Saccharomyces cerevisiae S288C: one gene and its partners. Changing the gene in region 2 together with the main gene of any one other region gives a genetic interaction. Each region holds a gene or a part of one and is shown on either strand. Other genes may lie near its edges. The genes, in order: POL32, DUN1, VID22 and BMH1.

Evidence for each region.
Region 1: mutations in DUN1 (region 2) and POL32 together harm fitness more than expected from each alone (negative genetic interaction), as found in Saccharomyces cerevisiae (5 studies listed by BioGRID, with this or other methods).
Region 3: mutations in DUN1 (region 2) and VID22 together harm fitness more than expected from each alone (negative genetic interaction), as found in Saccharomyces cerevisiae (5 studies listed by BioGRID, with this or other methods).
Region 4: mutations in DUN1 (region 2) and BMH1 together harm fitness more than expected from each alone (negative genetic interaction), as found in Saccharomyces cerevisiae (7 studies listed by BioGRID, with this or other methods).

The regions. Positions count from the first base shown.
Region 1 is NC_001142.9:515,961-519,520, reverse strand, and holds POL32 (DNA polymerase delta subunit POL32), read left to right. Parts: upstream 1-2,007; coding exon 2,008-3,060; downstream 3,061-3,560. Other genes in the region: VPS55 (Vps55p), read left to right, coding at 336-758; NUP85 (Nup85p), read right to left, coding at 3,232-3,560. UniProt on the Saccharomyces cerevisiae protein: DNA polymerase delta (DNA polymerase III) participates in chromosomal DNA replication.
Region 2 is NC_001136.10:279,807-283,572, reverse strand, and holds DUN1 (serine/threonine protein kinase DUN1), read left to right. Parts: upstream 1-1,724; coding exon 1,725-3,266; downstream 3,267-3,766. Other genes in the region: BUG1 (Bug1p), read right to left, coding at 1-154; guanine nucleotide exchange factor GET3, read left to right, coding at 397-1,461; DNA-directed DNA polymerase delta POL3, read right to left, coding at 3,408-3,766. UniProt on the Saccharomyces cerevisiae protein: Transducer of the DNA damage signal. Phosphorylates SML1 on serine residues. Cooperates with the PAN deadenylation complex in the regulation of RAD5 mRNA levels and cell survival in response to replicational stress.
Region 3 is NC_001144.5:865,516-873,281, reverse strand, and holds VID22 (Vid22p), read left to right. Parts: upstream 1-1,914; coding exon 1,915-4,620; downstream 4,621-7,766. Other genes in the region: PSY3 (Psy3p), read left to right, coding at 1-456; STP3 (Stp3p), read right to left, coding at 554-1,585; fatty acid elongase ELO3, read right to left, coding at 4,891-5,928; Rho family guanine nucleotide exchange factor ROM2, read right to left, coding at 6,498-7,766. UniProt on the Saccharomyces cerevisiae protein: Has a role in the negative regulation of gluconeogenesis. Imports fructose-1,6-bisphosphatase (FBPase) into the intermediate vacuole import and degradation (Vid) vesicles. This is an indirect role and requires cyclophilin A.
Region 4 is NC_001137.3:541,114-546,914, forward strand, and holds BMH1 (14-3-3 family protein BMH1), read left to right. Parts: upstream 1-4,497; coding exon 4,498-5,301; downstream 5,302-5,801. Other genes in the region: ECM32 (RNA helicase), read left to right, coding at 577-3,942; PDA1 (pyruvate dehydrogenase (acetyl-transferring) subunit E1 alpha), read left to right, coding at 5,704-5,801. UniProt on the Saccharomyces cerevisiae protein: Involved in growth regulation.

The DNA of each region.
Region 1 (3,560 bases), on a different chromosome or scaffold from region 2:
CATAATATACACGCCCCAAACATATATCGTTTATATAAGTACTGTTTCCTCGCATTAAGCGGGAAAGCCATGTATCTCTTGTAATTAGTTTGATCCTGTTCTATACCCAAATGTACTCCTCAAAATTATTACATTTTATTATGCCTTTTTCTTAGATGGGCTTTCACTCCACTTTACGAAAAACTGAGAAAAAAAGAGTAGGAGAAAAACTAGAAAAGGGGAATCACACACACACACACACACACACACACACACACACACACACGTCTAATATCGGCGCATATTTATCAAATCTAAAAGGCAAAGAATCTTAATACATAAAATCCCAGACGGTTATGATGGAATTCAAAGTGTCACCATTGACAAAGATTATTTCTCTGTCAGGATTCCTCGCATTGGGATTCCTTTTGGTCATACTAAGCTGCGCATTATTCCATAATTACTACCCACTATTCGATATTTTGATCTTTTTGCTTGCCCCAATACCAAACACAATTTTCAATGCAGGAAATAAATATCACACATCTGACTTCATGTCCGATTCATCAAACACTGGCCAAGATCTGGCTCACTTCCTTACAGGAATGCTGGTGACAAGCGGTATAGCACTCCCTGTTGTTTTCTATCATTGCCAATTGATTGGCCATTTGAGTTGTATCATGTGCATGATCGGTGGTCTTATCATATATTCTAGTATTGTTATTTTTAAATGGTTTTTCAAAAAAGATTTCAACGAAGATGATTCCCTTTTTGGTTAATATATAACAATTACTCATCCCCTCAACAGACTAAGCCAACTGGGTGCGTGAACCGTACATTGATATTATATAGTATGATACTCTACTCAAGGTGGGAAATCTGGCGTCGATTTCTCCTTTTTTTTAGAACTACTTAAATATAATAGATTACATAAAATTACTTTCTGTCTTTCTTCCATTTCAAGTTTTCAAACAAAAAATGCCAAGAAATTCGTGTCTTTAGCCTCTAGTTGACAGAATAATGTAGATAGGCAAAGTTGGCTGAATACATCCGTAATTTCGGGATAAGGATTGGCATTGAATCGCCACATGTCTATAATCTTATTTGAATCGATCTATGAGCGGAAACGTTGAGCAATGGTCGTACAACCATTCTGTGCCGCAATATACCTCATGAAAAGAGATGGGATTGCAAACCTTGAGAAATTAGTCTCTAGTAGGATAATGTATTGTACATTTGTTTGATTCCGCAGTTTTTATAGTGGCTTGAGATTTGTATTTCAACTAGATATGTTGAAAATATCCTCGTAGCGAATGTGGACATAGTGATAACAACAATGTCTTTGTCTTCTACACAAAGGTAAAGGTGTATAAAGCTTTACACACAATAAAGACGACACATAACAAATTATGCAACTGCGCTGCTATTGTAGGATAGCGTCCGATATTATCAATTCTTGCTTTTCAGCTTCTATTATATCTGATGACTAGTTCTCAATCTTTACGTCATCTTCCTATGGCATATTTTGTAATGTGCTAGTGACATGAATACTACTATGGATTATAGTAGGATTTCATTCTAACACAGCTCAGTGTGCAAGTTGTTTTTAATTTTACAATATGAATCTTTATTAAGTCTAAAATATTCATAAAAGTTAAGCGCCGTGGCGCAGTGGAAGCGCGCAGGGCTCATAACCCTGATGTCCTCGGATCGAAACCGAGCGGCGCTAAGCTTAATTTTTATATTTTTATCGTTTCACCTTATGAAAATTCTCGATCAGTATGCCTCAATATAGAACACTTCATTAATGGAAGTACCTTAATAAGGTTATACTAACGAATAGGTCTATTTTCCACTACGGTGTAACTTTCCGACGGAAGTAGTAAACGCGTATGAGTTAAACACGCGAAACTCTTAATTTTGAAAAGTACGCAGAAGTTCGTTACATCGCAATCAGATCAGCTCGAAATAATATTTCACATTAACTAACAACCAGAAATAGGCTTTAGTTAACTCAATCGGTAATTAATGGATCAAAAGGCGTCATATTTTATCAATGAGAAGCTCTTCACTGAGGTAAAGCCCGTCCTTTTTACGGATCTAATTCACCACTTGAAGATCGGCCCATCCATGGCCAAGAAATTAATGTTTGACTATTACAAACAGACCACCAATGCCAAATACAACTGCGTAGTGATATGCTGCTACAAAGATCAAACTATTAAAATTATTCATGATCTTTCCAACATTCCACAGCAAGATTCAATAATTGATTGTTTCATCTATGCCTTCAATCCCATGGACAGCTTCATACCATATTACGACATTATCGATCAAAAGGATTGTTTAACCATTAAAAATTCATACGAACTTAAAGTTTCTGAATCATCGAAAATTATAGAGAGGACTAAGACGTTAGAAGAGAAATCTAAACCTTTGGTAAGGCCTACAGCAAGATCAAAGACCACGCCAGAAGAAACAACCGGAAGGAAATCCAAATCTAAAGACATGGGTCTCAGGTCTACTGCACTGCTGGCTAAGATGAAAAAGGATAGAGATGACAAGGAAACCTCTAGACAAAATGAGTTACGTAAAAGGAAAGAGGAGAACTTGCAAAAAATAAATAAACAGAACCCTGAAAGAGAAGCTCAAATGAAAGAGTTAAATAATCTTTTTGTCGAAGATGACTTAGATACAGAGGAAGTAAATGGAGGGTCCAAGCCCAACTCACCTAAAGAAACTGACAGCAACGATAAGGACAAAAACAACGATGATTTAGAAGACTTGTTGGAAACGACAGCAGAAGATTCACTTATGGATGTACCTAAAATACAGCAAACAAAGCCTTCTGAAACAGAACATTCAAAGGAACCTAAATCTGAAGAAGAGCCCTCCTCTTTTATTGATGAGGATGGATATATTGTGACAAAGAGACCCGCAACTTCAACACCACCACGCAAGCCATCACCCGTGGTAAAAAGGGCATTGTCGTCTTCAAAAAAGCAAGAAACGCCGTCATCGAATAAAAGGTTAAAAAAGCAAGGAACATTGGAAAGCTTTTTCAAAAGAAAGGCAAAATAATCTTCTTTTTTTTCCAAACACTTTCCATTACTAATTGTGATGTAATGTATAATACAAATGTCAACTTACGTGATAGAAAAATAGATCAATATAAATATATATTGTTGTTTAAATTTACTTATTTTCGTCATATATCCTAATATACCATCCGAAGGACATTACTATACTGATTTACATGAACGCTTGACATAATTTGAAATTTAGTTTCTTTCTTAAATTTTTCAAAAGTGTTGCCATGCTACTAGGTAAGCTTTTATCTGCTTCAATAATGGTTTCATATAAGTTTGAACTTTTTTCATCAGCGTCATCCCATTTAGTTTCTATAACTTCAATGACTGTCGCCACTGAATCTTCATCCATTAGCTTCTTATCATCTAAAAGGAAAATTGGGTACAGGAATTTCGCCACAAGCAAAACCAAGTAATGTTTTGGTAAATAAGGGAATTCAATCAGCAAAAGCAATAGGCGCAGCGCTTGGCCCCAATCTTCTCTGTCCCTCA
Region 2 (3,766 bases):
GAGTTTCAGATCCTATAGAGCCTGTGGCACTGCTATTTTTATTCTTCTTACCTTTATTCTTTTTATTTTTCTTTTTCTTCAATTCTTCTACTCTCTTTCTAGCCTCTTCCAATTGTTTCATACGCTTAACTTCATCAGACTCCTGTTCAGACATTGTAACTATATGATAAACTTGCTCAATTCAGGTTGGTTCAATGCAAATTATTACATCCCTTTTTTATCACAAGATCTTCGTAACAATAGTACTAATTAATAGTGCTGGGGATTCTCAACCATTTTTTTTTTTTCAAAAGCGAAAATGGATAAAACGGTGGCAACTTCAAACAAGTTGAGGGAAGCCAACGCAGCGTTTAGGAAAACGTACGACAAGAACAAGAAGATCATCACATTGTAATTATGGATTTAACCGTGGAACCTAATTTGCACTCTTTAATTACCTCTACCACTCATAAGTGGATTTTCGTTGGTGGTAAAGGTGGTGTTGGTAAGACTACTTCATCATGTTCCATTGCTATCCAAATGGCTTTGAGTCAACCAAACAAACAGTTCCTACTGATCTCTACTGATCCTGCCCATAACTTAAGTGATGCATTCGGTGAGAAATTTGGTAAAGACGCCAGAAAGGTGACAGGCATGAATAATCTATCATGTATGGAAATCGATCCATCCGCTGCTTTGAAGGATATGAACGACATGGCAGTTTCACGCGCTAACAATAACGGAAGTGACGGTCAAGGTGACGATCTAGGAAGCTTGCTTCAAGGTGGTGCTCTTGCTGATTTGACCGGTTCCATCCCTGGTATCGACGAAGCTTTATCCTTCATGGAAGTCATGAAGCACATTAAAAGGCAAGAACAGGGCGAAGGTGAAACCTTCGATACTGTTATTTTTGACACTGCTCCAACTGGCCACACATTAAGATTTCTACAACTACCAAATACTTTATCCAAGCTTTTGGAAAAGTTCGGTGAAATTACCAACAAATTGGGCCCAATGCTAAACTCTTTTATGGGCGCAGGTAATGTCGATATCTCTGGAAAATTGAACGAGTTAAAGGCTAATGTCGAGACCATCAGACAACAATTCACGGATCCTGACCTAACGACTTTTGTTTGCGTTTGTATCAGTGAATTCTTATCCTTATATGAAACTGAAAGACTAATTCAGGAATTGATTTCCTACGATATGGACGTTAATTCCATCATTGTCAACCAATTATTATTTGCTGAAAACGATCAAGAGCACAACTGTAAGAGATGTCAGGCAAGATGGAAGATGCAAAAGAAGTACTTGGACCAAATCGACGAATTGTACGAAGATTTCCATGTCGTTAAAATGCCATTATGTGCTGGAGAAATCAGAGGCTTAAATAACTTAACAAAGTTCTCACAGTTCCTAAACAAAGAATATAACCCTATTACTGATGGCAAAGTCATTTATGAGTTAGAAGATAAGGAATAGAAGCCCCTGAATACCATAAATAGATACATACGACATATAACCATAGAAAAAATAGTAATACGATGGTATGTGTGTGAAAAGAAAAAAATTACGTGACGCGACGCGTTTGTTTACTTTTTTCCATTTTATTTCCATGGTATTTTTCAAATGATTTTGGAAAATTATTAGATATTGTTGAAAAAGGAGGAAATGAGAACCCTTTATAGTCGAGAGTAACAAGTAAAGGGGCTTAACATACAGTAAAAAAGGCAATTATAGTGAAGATGAGTTTGTCCACGAAAAGAGAGCACTCTGGTGATGTAACTGACTCTTCATTCAAAAGACAGCAACGAAGTAATAAGCCCAGCTCAGAATACACTTGTCTGGGCCATCTGGTGAACTTAATACCCGGAAAGGAGCAAAAAGTGGAAATAACAAATAGAAACGTTACTACAATCGGTAGAAGTAGGTCGTGCGACGTTATATTGAGTGAGCCTGACATCTCGACTTTCCATGCTGAGTTTCATCTACTGCAAATGGATGTGGATAATTTCCAAAGAAATTTGATTAATGTTATCGATAAGAGCAGAAACGGAACTTTTATTAATGGTAATCGTTTGGTGAAGAAAGACTACATCCTTAAGAATGGTGACAGAATTGTCTTTGGCAAAAGTTGCTCCTTTTTGTTCAAGTACGCATCTTCATCTTCTACTGACATCGAAAATGACGATGAAAAGGTAAGTTCAGAAAGTCGTTCATATAAGAACGACGACGAAGTTTTCAAGAAACCGCAAATAAGTGCTACAAGTAGCCAAAATGCTACAACGAGTGCCGCAATTAGAAAACTGAATAAGACAAGGCCTGTGTCGTTCTTTGATAAATATTTATTAGGTAAAGAATTAGGTGCAGGGCACTACGCCCTGGTGAAAGAAGCCAAAAACAAAAAAACTGGTCAGCAAGTAGCTGTGAAAATATTCCACGCTCAGCAAAATGACGACCAAAAAAAGAATAAACAATTTAGGGAGGAAACTAACATCCTAATGAGAGTGCAACATCCAAACATTGTCAACTTACTAGATAGTTTTGTAGAGCCAATCAGCAAATCTCAGATTCAAAAATATTTGGTACTGGAAAAGATCGACGATGGCGAACTATTTGAAAGAATCGTCAGAAAAACATGTTTGAGACAGGATGAATCCAAAGCTCTATTCAAACAGTTACTTACCGGATTGAAGTATCTGCATGAGCAAAACATCATTCACAGAGACATCAAGCCAGAAAATATCTTATTAAATATAACAAGGCGCGAAAATCCAAGTCAAGTCCAACTTGGCCCATGGGATGAAGATGAAATTGATATTCAAGTTAAAATAGCGGATTTTGGCCTAGCAAAATTTACAGGAGAAATGCAATTCACAAACACACTTTGTGGTACGCCTTCTTATGTAGCGCCCGAAGTCCTCACAAAGAAAGGATACACATCAAAAGTAGATCTTTGGAGTGCTGGTGTCATATTATATGTCTGTTTATGTGGTTTTCCTCCATTCAGTGATCAATTGGGGCCACCTTCATTGAAGGAACAGATCTTACAAGCTAAGTATGCGTTTTACTCTCCGTACTGGGATAAAATCGATGACTCAGTACTACATTTAATATCCAATCTTTTGGTCCTAAATCCTGATGAAAGGTACAATATAGATGAAGCTTTGAACCACCCTTGGTTCAATGACATACAGCAACAAAGCTCGGTCTCATTAGAATTGCAGCGTTTACAAATTACTGACAATAAAATACCCAAAACATACTCAGAATTATCTTGCCTCTAAACATGAGAAGCATTATTTCAAAAACATTGTTTGAATCTGGATTTTTCCAAGTATCTATTTATATATACATATATATCCACCAACATGCAAAAAGTTGTTAGCCTTTCTTAATCCTAATATGATGTGCCACCCTATCGTTTTTTACCATTTGCTTAATTGTTCTACTTTCTCCTGCAGCTCTTTTTTAACCTTAACCCGCATATAAAAAATGTCACAGTTCTTATTTGAACACAAAACTTCACTATGTAAGTTACCAGCGCACCTTTGGCATTGTGTCCATAATCTTGAGTATTTTTCCTCTAAATCTCTGACATCGTATAATGCCTTTATGTATAATTCTCCAGACCTTGCTAGACAGTTTGAACAAAGAGGGCCTTCACCTTTCCTCAACGGACCTTTACAACTTTTACAAGCCTCAACTTTTTTAATAAAGCTCATCAAGCCTCCTTTTTGAGAGCCTGTGTTAATTTTAATGGATTTCACAACGAACATACCGTTCG
Region 3 (7,766 bases), on a different chromosome or scaffold from region 2:
ATGAATTCGCTATCTTGCATAAACATCACGGGATTAATCGTATTTCTAGAGTTACTGTATGACTCTCCCATGGATGCGTTAAGGAGGTGCCAGGTTGATAATTTCAACTTTCAATTACGAGGAATAGTAATCGACAATTTGTCTTTCTTGAATTTTGAAAGCGACAAAAACTATGATGTAATAAATTTATCGAAATTTGAAAAACTGTTTAAGATTCTAAGGAAACTAAGAGAATTTTTGGGCTGCTGGATCATCACCAAAAGTTTTCCCACAGACTTCTATAATGGTATCGAAAACACCTTAGTTGATAAGTGGTCAATCAAGAGGAAAAGCGGCGTTACACTGTACCCCACAAAACTACCTGATTCATACATGAAGGGAATGGATCTGATAATCTACAGAGAAGTTGTTGACGGCAGGCCACAGTACAGAAGGATAGCCGCACTTGAAGAATGATAAGAGAAGGAAAAAAAACATTAAAAACTCAGATACATAAATTAAATATCTACTAGTACTAATAAAAACAGGGGAAAAGTCGTTATGCTGCCGGGAATCAATGGTATTTATAGCCGCATTGTTTACCTACGTGTTCGTTGAGCCAAACGTCAACGTTCTCGAACTTCAGGCCGCAATGCTTACATCTACCAGGAACAACATTTCTATCCTTTTTCTTCGTGCCTGGCGGGTATTCAAAATGCAAAGCCTTTAAATGGTTTTTGAAGGTGTCGCAACGTGAGAACACCCCCGTCTGGTGACAATTGGAAGTCTCAAAATTTAAAGGTTTCAGTTTATACGGGTACATATCCATGTCCAATTGTATTAAGGTGGAGTTGAATGGGCACTTGAATGTGCCCTTGATTTGATGCAACGATTTCAATTGTGCATAATCTGTGACAGAATTCATCGGTGTCATTTTTTCATGGGTATCATCATCATTGGGAGAAACGGATCCTCCCTTACCATCATTATGGTTCGAAAGTACTCCCGATTGGGACAGTATCTCATCCTTCCAATGTCTTTTCTTATGCCTCAATAAGTCATTGTTCCTGGCGAACCCGCGGTGGCAGATGGGACACTTGTGAGGCCGATCCTCTGGCGTCAAGTGCGTTGCCTTGTGCGTGGTCAGATTGGCATAAAAATTACGACAAATTGGACATTGCTTCTTTTTCCTTGGCTTATTGATTTTGGTGCTATGGGGGGTACTCACCCCGGCACCGCCAACAGATGAAGGACCAGCCACTTTTAAAATTGGTGAAATGGAACGTGAAGGTGATGCAGATGAAGAAGTTTCCGATGCAGAAGCGGAACCTTCCGTAGGCTGCTGCACGGAGGGAAGGAAGCTCGAGCTGGAGTTCGACCGGGACACATCATTGGAGTGCGGAAGCAACTGATAGCTCAGCATCGACGATGATGCGCCCGCACTGCCACTGCCGTTACTAATGTTCATATTAGGCAGTGTCGGATGTGTCGAGGCGGACGAAGCCTCGCCATTATATTGTCTCTCGGCTGCCTTGATAAGGTTGTCAAATGACGAGATGGGAGGCAACGTGATGTGGTTCATAGCACTATTGTTTGCATTACTCATCGCTCGCTGCACATGCCACACAAAAAACACCCACCCTGATTTCTCGAAACCAACTTTTTGTCACCAACATGCAGCGCTTACCAACAGTCTGTCTTCTTTATACCGTTGCTTTGTTCCAGATGGTACTGCCATGCTTCCAACGGCTACAAAAAAAACACCGCAACGGCGAAAAAATGGCGCAATTATTCACCGTGTAGTCATTTACCACGGCCGGGAAAGCGCGAATGGGATCAGCAAACAATAAACAACACATAACATGAACCATCAAGAGATGGGAAAGAGAGAGTTTGCTGGCAGCATCCACAGGATAAACAAGCACGAGAGCACATATGAGAGCGATGGACACACAGGTACAGAGTGCTGAAAGAGGATTGGTGTTGCCTCCCATGAATTCAACTGTATCGTCGGCGACGGCGGCTACGACGGCCACAAATACGGATACAGATACAGATGGAGATAGAGATGAGGAAAGGGAGTCGTTAGCAGAGGATGGTAGCGAATGGGTGCCCGCATATATGCTTACCAGAGACAGGTCACGCTACTTGGGCCATTTTCTGGGTGTAGACAAGATGCTGGAGGCAGTAAAATGCAAGTACTGCGGTGTGATAATAAGACGGCAAGGAAACAGCATAAGCATGGCGGAAGCCTCGCAAACTCATTTGTGGAGCACGCATAAGATAGACCCGAATGCCAATTACTATAGCGGATGGACGGGCGTAGAAGCAGGTTCTACTTTTATGGTCAGACCACCTTTGAAGAACCATCAAGGCGGTAGCGCCACAACGAACAGCATTGCTAACCTGCTGGAAATAGACGAGGACTTTTTGAAGAGAACTAGGGAAAAAGAAATGGCCTTGCCTCTTGTGCAGTCGCTTGCGATCATAATTGCATCAGAAAACTTGCCTCTGTCGTTCGTAGACAACACTGCCGTACGCCTTTTGATCAATCAGAACGCCAACTCACTAAGCTTCATTGACCATGACTTAATTCTGAATGCTATCAGGTCCATCGCATATAATCTCGATAGAATCATTCAAAGGACAGCTTTGCGAAACAATTCCGATTTGTCGTTGATTATCGACAAAAACTACTTACTAATGGACCCAACCGATAGATCTAATCAGTTATCAAACAGGTTGAAGAACCAATTATTTGAAATGCAAAAAATCAATTTTTTCTCTCTAAGCCACTCCGTTTGGAATAACACGATATCTATATTGAGTATTCAGTACTATGATGATTTTCATTCCCAAGTAAAGACTTTACCCCTTATCATCCAAAACTTACATGAATATAACAATGACCCCAAACTATCTATTCCAGCTCAACTGCTCAAAATCTCACAAGAATTACCTGGTTTACAAAATACTGTGATTTCTATCACTCTACCAAGATCTCAAATAGTAGATCTACTAAACGTAATGGATAGCCAACCCTTTTTCCCGAATACGTATACGAATGCTAAAAACTATTATCACAATTGCATTATTTCCATAATAAATTCTGCGATATTGCCATTGTTCGGTACGCCTAAATCCGCCGATATTACGCATCCGAGACAATCATCATTCTCCAAAGAACCTTTGACTTTATTGGACTCTCTAATTGATTTGTCAAATATAGATATTTCGAATTCCATTTTTTCCAGAATCAATTCTTTTTTGGATGATTTACAATCTAATTCGTGGCAGTTAGATAAATTCCGTTCATTGTGTGAAAAATTTGGCTTCGAATTCGTTTGTTCGAAATTCGATTTATCCCGTTACTCTACCGCCACCGTTTCACTGCAAACTTTTTTGAACCTTCGTCCCATAATAGAAGAATATCAATCTTCTATCCAAATTGAAAAATTCAACGAAATCGACTTTCAAATAATAGACTATTTATTAATTACTTTGAATTCCATCAATAGAATACTAAAGTTCTTTACTTCTTCCAAAAGCTTAAACTTTACCTATGTTTTGTTCGCCATAATGTCTATTGAAAAGCATCTGTTGTCCACCTTGGGCAGCCTACAATTTCAACGGTTAATTGCACCATTTGAAACATTTTTGTCTAAAATTCAAGAATTCAAAACCATTTTATTTTCAGACGATATGAACCTTTTAGCAATGTTCTTGTGTCCTGCGATTTTATTCGAAAGAGAAGTCCTGGAATATTCTTTTCATACCATTTCACTTTCTGAAATAGTCGACAAACTTTCTACATCAATTTTCAGTTTATTGAAAAGGTTTTTGAATTTACACACAATAGGCAACGTTAACAACAGTCATAATACTTCCAATCATAGCAACATGAACATTCACACTGATAATCAGACGAACAACATCAACAATAGAAGCGGCAACAACAGCGACAATAATGATAACGAACATGATAACGACAACGACAACCACTCGAATTCAAATACGCCCGCATCAAGAATAGATATAGATCCTACTGGTGGAGAAAATTCTGTATTACCGGAACAACAACCACAGAATAGCAATAATAACCTATCATTTGGTTCTCTTAGCGATACCCATCATTTATCGGACTCTACCATATCAAAGGAAATAGATAGTATCTTTTTACAAATCATTCAAGAGGACTTATATGATTACTTGAGTACAGTAAACTCCATCGTACCCATATCTTACAGGTCGTATTGTGAACAAAGCAATTTCATTAGAGATAGTGGCCGTTTCAAGAAGAGAATAATAACAGAGGACTCTATTATTGGAGAGCTAGAACAACCAATGAACTTCATTGAAGAGTTACTTGATATCCATGTTCCTGTGTGTAACGCGTTCTGGTCCCAATACTTAGATAATGATGCTGGGCCGATAATTAGAATTTTGTTCAAGATAATGCAATGTCAGTCATCTTCCTCCATTAGGGGAGAGTACTCATTTTTAAATGACTTCATTCCCAGAGTACATCCCGATTTAACTCAAGAGATTATTAAAATTAAATTATTCAATGATCAATTCGTGGCAAGTAAAGTGGATTACGACTTGGACACTTTACAAACTGCAAGTCAGTATCTTCCATAGGACATACAAAGGAACAAAGTCTGTTTGTTTTAAATTTTAGCTGCTATATAATTTTATTTTATAATTGTAATGTATCACTACTCCTCACTGTAAGCGTGCAATTCTTTGGGCAGCTAAGGAAATGATTAATCAAAATGGGAAAAACACCAAGCCAATAATCTATCATTTCTATAATAATGATTTCATTTATCGTACATATTTAATATAAAGAAAATGTTAACATTTAATTTTTTTCTTTTTCATTCGCTGTCAAAAATTCTCGCTTCCTATTTAAGCTTTCCTGGAAGAGACCTTGGTGTTAGAGGTCTTGACACCAGTAGAAGAACCGGATGCAACGGAGCCGGAAACTTCAGATTCCTTCTTGACTGTCTTTTTACCACCTTTCTTGTAAGATTGGATGTAGAAGGAAATAAACAAAAGCAAATAAGATGTTAGAATCAAATACCCATAAGCAGCAGCAGCCTGAGTACCATAACAAGTACCCTTGTTTGGTAAAATACCGTCCAAGTATTTGTGAGCATAGAATGTATAGGTAGCAAAGTAAACAAATACCAAGTCAATCAAAAATTGAATAATTTGGAATCTAGTGACCCATTGCTTCCACCAAACTCTAATACCACATGAACTCAAGAAGTAGTACCAGTACATGATAACGTGAACACCCAAGTTTAGTAGGATAACTACCCATTCAACAGAAGTACGACCAATTAATTGAGTGTAGCACAACAAAGCGGTGGCACCGTGATGGTAAGTGTGCAAAAACAATAACTTCTTTCTTCTCAAAACTAAAAACACAGTGTCAATCAATTCTACGAATTTGGTCAAATAGTTCAAATAGTAAAGAGTAACTAATTTTGGTGCGAAGGCTTCCTTAGAGCAGATAGACCAGAATAGACCGTTGTGATAAACCATAGGAACCAACTGTTCTAACATCAGCAACCATAAAACTAGAGAAATAGAAGTCAAAAACAAGTTGTGTATCTCGAAAAGCAATTTAAACTTTAATGGAGAGGCGTTCAAGGCGCGTAAGATAGCTTGGCCACCAAAGATAATAATGTAATAAACGATAATAATACTAACAGCATGATACCCGTTAGCCAAGAAAGTCTTATTGTGAATAAACTCGAATTGCTCAGCTGGATAGCCACTAAAGTATTCAAACACTTTGGAGAAAATTGGCCATAATTCAATACCGAATGGGTTCTCAATGGAAGGAACATGAACCTTCAAGAAACATGAAGAAGAAGAGTTCAAAGACTGGAACTGGTCGGCAACTGCTGCTATAACAGTAGATGTGGTAGTGTTCATGACTGTTTATGTTTCGTAAACAAACGGAAAAAAGCCGAATAAATAAACTAGAAGTAAGCTTGAAGCGAGTGAAGAGCTGTCAAAAACCAATCAATGACCAAATAAAAAGACACCAGATATGCGGAAAATACACAGTACCTAACTGGGGTAATAAGTTAAATAAAACTTCAAACAAGGCTAAACAACAAACAGAAGACTCCAGATAAATATTTTATACAATTATTTACTAAGAACCTGTGAAAAAAAAAAAAGACAAGCCAAATGCGTAAGCCAACCTTTTGTTTATTCACAGTCTGGAAAATTTTCTGAAAATTTTTCACTTTGTGGACGGAATAAAAACTTCGAAGCTTTGGGAAGAAAAATTTCGCGTTTTTTTTTCTCGCGTCATCAATCATTTGCATACAAATCCCTCTGACGGTGAATTATCATTATTATATTATAAAATTATTATTTATGTCGTTTTCCACTATTGTCATCAATGTTTATTATTCATAATTCTGCTCCTTTTACAACTTTAGTTATGCTTTTTATTCTAAAGAAAATAAGGAAAGTCTATATACGTTGCTATCTTAACCCCAGAAATCTAACGACGCAACTGTATCATACCCGCGATAATCCTCGTAGCAGTACAGGATTTCTTGAGTACTTGTTTGTAGAAGTCGAATCTTATCAGCAAGGACGCAACGAATTAATTCGCCAGTTTCAATCTTTCTGATCTCAATGAAGTTGCTGTCGAATGCCAAGATGTACGGGTACCAAATTGCAAATTTTTGGGGCTCTCCCTCCCAATGAATAATATGCGATTCTTTCTTTCTCCAACCCTGATTATTGACAAAGAAGGCAAATTCTGTGTAACACAGCAAAAACATATTTCCCACACGATAGATTGCCATTGGTTTCAAAGTATCCCTTAGTGCAAACTCTAATGATGTATCGGCCGGATCTAACAAGGATTCATGAGCATTCTGTGAAATGCTAACGATCTGAAAACCCTTTTTACAGCCAATGCATAGGTTGGCCTTGAGAAATGAAATAGAGACAGGTTCAGAATCAAAAATAACCTCGGTGATTTTTTTCTTGAGACTTTTTTTGTTACCGCTACCACTACCATTTTTTTCGGCCAATAATGGATGTTCATGCTCGAAGTACTTAATTGAATGCGATGAACTGTGTGCAGTCACGATTAATCTCTTACCATTGCAATCTCCTTCTGCGAAGAAACTCACATGATTGATCAGTTCCTTGTGATGCTTTTTGAAGAAAGATGTCCCATTACCTTCTGCTTCGATTAATGACAGCGGACAACTGTATAATTTTTTATCAATTAAAAGTATGATTGATTTGAATTCTTCTAATACAGCAATTTGAGTGATATTATTTCTTTGTACTAGTTGGATTGGAGTTGAAAAAAAAGCAGAGCTTTTATGTCTATGATCTTTATTCTGCTGTCTTTTAATGTTGCTCATATACAATCCAGAGTTCGTTGCAATCAGAAGTTTTCTACCCCCATCACAGGAAGTAACACTGTTAATTTTGTTGGTGTAATCGAAGAACCTATCGCTCATTTTCGTTACATTGAACATCTCCGTTTTGCTTATAATAGCTGCTTGTCCTTGCTTTATTTTTTCCAAAAGCGTTTGCAATCCAGCGTATTGCGCAGCATATAATGTAACTTGATATCTCTGCTTGGCACCGTAGTATAAGAAAGTTATTGCGTTTTTAGGATTACTCGTGTTGTATTCTGGTTGAATTACAGTTCCTGAACAATCTGGGTGGTCTCCAATATATTTCCTCAACGCAGGCATATCTTCACCTGGACATGCAAATAACAATGGCAA
Region 4 (5,801 bases), on a different chromosome or scaffold from region 2:
CACCGACTTGAAATAGTAAACTCAAGCGCAATGATGAAAATTGGGTTGCAATGTATATTTGATATCACAAATACCAAAATTAGCCGCTTTTTTGGTACGCACTTATAATCGAAGAAATTGATTCTTTTTTAGATTTTTAACAAATGAGGTTATATGAGAATGAAGCAGGTCATAACAAGCGGAACCAAAGCTTACTCAAACAAGTTATCATTTCCAACTAAATCCTACTTGAACTGCACCTCTTAAAAGAAAGATAGAAATTCTATACAAGCGCTCTCACTCAATAAGAATTGTAAAATGAACATGACAGTGATGTGTCACACCTCGATCGGCAACGTGAATTGGTTACCGTCTATTTAGTAATCAGTACAGAGATATTGAAGATGCCGCTATTTTTTTTTTTTTATATTTCCGCCGTATTTTATTCCTGTGTAGTCGGGTAATGGATGCTATTTGTATGCGATTTTAGAGTCTTAAAATGCTCAAGAGTGATGTATAATGTAAGTTCATCATTTGAAGAATTCGAACAAAGTTGTGACAATATAAGGAGTTCCGCAGACTAAGAAGTACTACACGATGGATTTTCAGTGCAGAACGTGTAGCCAGGCTTATGATGCTGAGCAGATGATGAAGCATCTCTCAAGTACGAGGCATAAAACTGTATTCGACACTTCAAATGATGAAGATATTTGCTGTGAGGAATGTCAAGATAAAAATATACACCAACTTCAAATCATCAGGTTTGGGGGTGAAGACATGGTTTTACTTTGTAATTCGTGTTTTCGGAAAGAATATTCAGAAACGGAGCGTCCATCAACTAGCTACTCATTACAAAACGGCTCTATATTGAAATTTTGGGAAAAGTACGTGAAAGTCAGGGAATGTTGTTGTGATGAGTGTGGGGAAGAGTCTAACTTGAATGCAAATAGAAATGGAGAAGTATTATGTGACAAGTGCTTGCCCAAATCGAATAGAGCTAAAGACTTTGTTTCTGAAAAAAGTGGAAGATTCCTATACATCTACTTGGGACTGAATGAAACACAGAATAGCACTAGAAAGCCTAGAAAAAAGGGCGGCAGAAGAGTTGGTAGAGGAAAGAAGGGCAGGAAGGGTGCTAAGATTAAGAAGGAGAAAAAGGAAACTTTCGAGGCCAAAATAAGTAGAATCGCTTATGAAGTCAAGAAAGAAAATAGTACCATTCAAAGCTCTAGTAGTTCCAATCTAAGAAACTTCAAAGGTTTCAAAGCGGTGGAAAGCGATCCAGTAGTTGCAGCAAAAGTAAGCAAATCAGAGACTAGTAGAAGTAATCCTGGCCCATCAAATCGAAACAAAGGGAAAGGAAATAAGGCAAACCACAAAAAGAATAGTGGAAATGGGATAGGAAAAGAGAAAGAGAGGAAAACAAACATTAGAAATAATGTCCGTAACAGCCAACCTATACCAGAGGACAGAAAAAATACCAATAGCCACGTTACAACAAACTCTGGAGGGAAAGGCAAGAACGAATCAGTGGATAAGCACCAATTACCGCAACCAAAAGCTTTGAATGGAAACGGGTCGGGCAGTACTAATACTACTGGTTTGAAAAAAGGGAAAAAAGACCATGCTGGCCAGAAGACTAAGGGCAATGATAAAACGGGTAATAAGAATCCGCGAGAGGCCAAACTAAATTCAGCTGGCAGAAAGAATGCACTTGGCAAAAAATCAAATAACCAGCCAAATAAGGGAACTAGCAGGTGGACAATTGGATCTGATACTGAATCTTCTAGAGAACCTAGTATTAGCCCAAACGAGAACACAACTTCAATTACTAAATCGCGAAACCGCAATAAGAAGGCTAGCAAGCCGACGCTGAATGAAAAATCAAAAACAACAACGATGCCAAAAAAGTTGGAGACAAAAAATCAAGAGAAAAATAATGGAAAAACTAAGGACGGGAAACTTATTTACGAAGAAGGTGAACCACTCACAAGGTATAATACCTTTAAGTCAACCTTATCATACCCCGATTTGAACACATACCTAAATGATTACTCATTTGCCCTTTTTTTGGAACAGAAATTAGAGAACGAATTTGTTCAAAACTTCAACATACTATGGCCTCGCAATGAAAAAGATACAGCTTTTATAATCAACGTTGAGAAGAATAATAATTCAGAACTTGAGAAATTACTACCTGCAAATTTGCTTGCACTCGGTAGACCGGCATTTAATGAAAGGCAACCATTTTTCTTTTGTACTCAGGATGAACAAAAAGTTTGGTATATTTTTATCAAAGAACTTTCTATTCAAAGGGGTAAATACGTGTTGTTAGTGGAGCTTTTTTCGTGGAATAATTTGAGTTTGCCAACGAAAAATGGTTCATCTCAATTTAAGCTATTGCCAACTTCTGCGCAGACAAGTAGAATTCTATTTGCCATGACGCGTATTACAAACCCAAAATTTATTGACCTATTACTAGGCCAAAAGCCTATTAAAGAGATTTATTTTGATAACAGGCTAAAATTTTCCAGTGACAAGTTGAACCGATCTCAGAAGACTGCAGTGGAACATGTTCTAAACAACAGTATCACAATTCTACAAGGCCCACCTGGTACAGGTAAAACATCAACAATAGAGGAGATAATCATCCAAGTAATTGAAAGATTTCACGCATTCCCAATATTGTGTGTTGCCGCGTCAAATATTGCTATTGATAACATTGCCGAGAAGATTATGGAGAATAGACCGCAGATAAAGATCTTAAGAATTTTGTCAAAGAAGAAAGAACAACAGTATAGTGATGACCACCCATTGGGCGAAATTTGTCTCCACAATATTGTATACAAAAATCTTTCCCCAGACATGCAAGTCGTGGCAAACAAAACCCGCAGGGGCGAAATGATCTCCAAATCAGAGGACACGAAGTTTTATAAAGAGAAAAACCGTGTCACCAACAAGGTCGTATCTCAATCGCAAATAATTTTCACGACAAACATTGCTGCAGGTGGTCGTGAATTGAAGGTTATAAAAGAATGTCCCGTGGTAATAATGGATGAGGCTACACAATCATCAGAGGCTTCAACACTAGTCCCACTTTCGTTACCAGGTATAAGAAATTTTGTCTTCGTTGGGGACGAAAAGCAATTGTCAAGTTTCAGCAACATCCCTCAACTGGAAACCTCACTATTCGAAAGAGTCCTATCTAATGGCACGTACAAAAACCCACTAATGCTGGATACGCAGTACAGAATGCACCCAAAAATTAGCGAATTCCCCATTAAGAAAATATACAATGGTGAATTGAAGGACGGTGTCACGGACGAACAAAAGGCATGGCCTGGCGTGCAGCATCCGTTGTTTTTTTATCAGTGCGATTTGGGGCCCGAGAGCAGAGTGAGAAGCACGCAAAGAGACATAGTCGGGTTTACGTACGAAAACAAACACGAATGTGTAGAAATCGTGAAGATTATCCAAATACTAATGTTGGACAAGAAGGTTCCGCTGGAAGAAATTGGTGTCATAACGCCCTATTCTGCACAGCGTGATCTGCTGTCTGACATCTTGACCAAAAACGTAGTTATCAACCCCAAACAGATTTCTATGCAACAAGAATACGATGAAATTGAGCTATTTAACGCGGCTGGTTCTCAAGGAACCGCCGGCAGTCTACAAAACAATGTGATTAACATCATCAACGGCCTACACGTCGCGACCGTAGACTCCTTTCAAGGCCACGAAAAATCTTTCATCATATTTTCATGTGTCAGAAATAACACCGAAAACAAAATCGGCTTTTTACGTGACAAAAGAAGGTTAAACGTGGCATTGACAAGAGCCAAGCACGGACTAATTGTGGTGGGCAACAAGAATGTCTTAAGAAAAGGAGACCCCCTATGGAAAGACTACATTACCTACCTCGAGGAACAAGAGGTCATATTCACTGATCTCACAGCTTACTAGCCGGCTAGGCGGCGGCAAGAAAATCCACTGTTTATGTATTGATTGCGCAATGCAGAGATAGATAGATATAGATAGATAATGGACGTAGTTATAGAACAGAAAATCGGTAGATCGAAAACACAGGGGAAAAAGGGGGGGGGGGGGGGGAGACAGCGCAGCCACGTGACGGGCTTCCTCTTTGGAAAGTGGAGCGAAGTTTTGCGGAAGCTACTTTATTCCGGCCTGGAGTCAAAAGAGGAAGCTCGGTGGCAAATAGCTTCCTCTTTGTGGCCGGGGCGCGGGGGGACGAGGCAAAAAGCAAAGAAAAGCAAAAAAAATAAAAAAAAAAACAAAAAAACAGGGGTATGAGAAAAAGACACGCTTTTCCACGCGCAGCAAAAAGGAAAAAGGAAAAGGAAACTCTTTATTATTGGACCTTAAACCTGAAAACGAGACGAACCGTAACATAAAACCGTGTAGTTTCTGCAAAAATAACTTAGTTTTTCCTACTTTTCAAAATTGAGAGCGCAAGCAAGTGAGAAGAAAAAGCAAGTTAAAGATAAACTAAAGATAAAAATGTCAACCAGTCGTGAAGATTCTGTGTACCTAGCCAAGTTGGCTGAACAGGCCGAACGTTATGAAGAAATGGTCGAAAACATGAAGACTGTTGCCTCCTCTGGCCAAGAGTTGTCGGTCGAAGAGCGTAATTTGTTGTCTGTTGCTTATAAGAACGTTATTGGTGCTCGTCGTGCCTCTTGGAGAATTGTTTCTTCTATTGAGCAAAAGGAGGAGTCCAAGGAGAAGTCCGAACACCAGGTCGAGTTGATTTGTTCGTACCGTTCGAAGATTGAGACCGAACTAACTAAGATCTCCGACGATATTTTGTCCGTGCTAGACTCCCACTTAATTCCATCAGCCACCACTGGCGAGTCCAAGGTTTTCTACTATAAGATGAAGGGTGACTACCACCGTTATTTGGCTGAATTTTCTAGTGGCGATGCTAGAGAAAAGGCCACAAACGCCTCTTTAGAAGCATACAAGACCGCTTCTGAAATTGCCACCACAGAGTTACCCCCAACTCACCCAATCCGTCTAGGTTTGGCTCTTAACTTCTCTGTCTTCTATTATGAAATTCAAAACTCTCCAGACAAAGCCTGCCATTTGGCCAAGCAAGCTTTTGACGACGCTATTGCTGAGTTGGACACTCTGTCTGAAGAATCATACAAAGATAGCACACTTATCATGCAACTGCTAAGGGACAATTTAACCTTATGGACTTCAGACATGTCCGAGTCCGGTCAAGCTGAAGACCAACAACAACAACAACAACATCAGCAACAGCAGCCACCTGCTGCCGCCGAAGGTGAAGCACCAAAGTAAGTATTCTGATAAATCTAAAGAGAAATTACTAAAAAAAAGAAAAAAAAAAGAACGGGGGTGTAATAATTTGTAGTTCATTATTGCAATTATATATCTATATCTATATATGTATATAACATTAACATGTGCATGTACACACGTAATCGCGCGTGTACATGTCTATATGTGTTACTTGAACTATACTGTTTTGACGTGTATGTTTATTTATCTCTCTTCTGATTCCTCCACCCCTTCCTTACTCAACCGGGTAAATGTCGCATCATGACTCCCGACAATAATCCCCTCTGGTATAGCGAGAAGCAACTTTAGCTTCTTAACGGCAAGAACTTTTTTATGTTTGTCGCACCTGTATCTTCACAAAAGTTGGATACAGCAATAAGAAAGGAAACCACATTTGTGCCAATGCTTGCTGCTTCATTCAAACGCCAACCATCACAATTGGTCCGCGGGTTAGGAGCTGTTCTTCGCACTCCCACCAGGATAGGTCATGTTCGTACCAT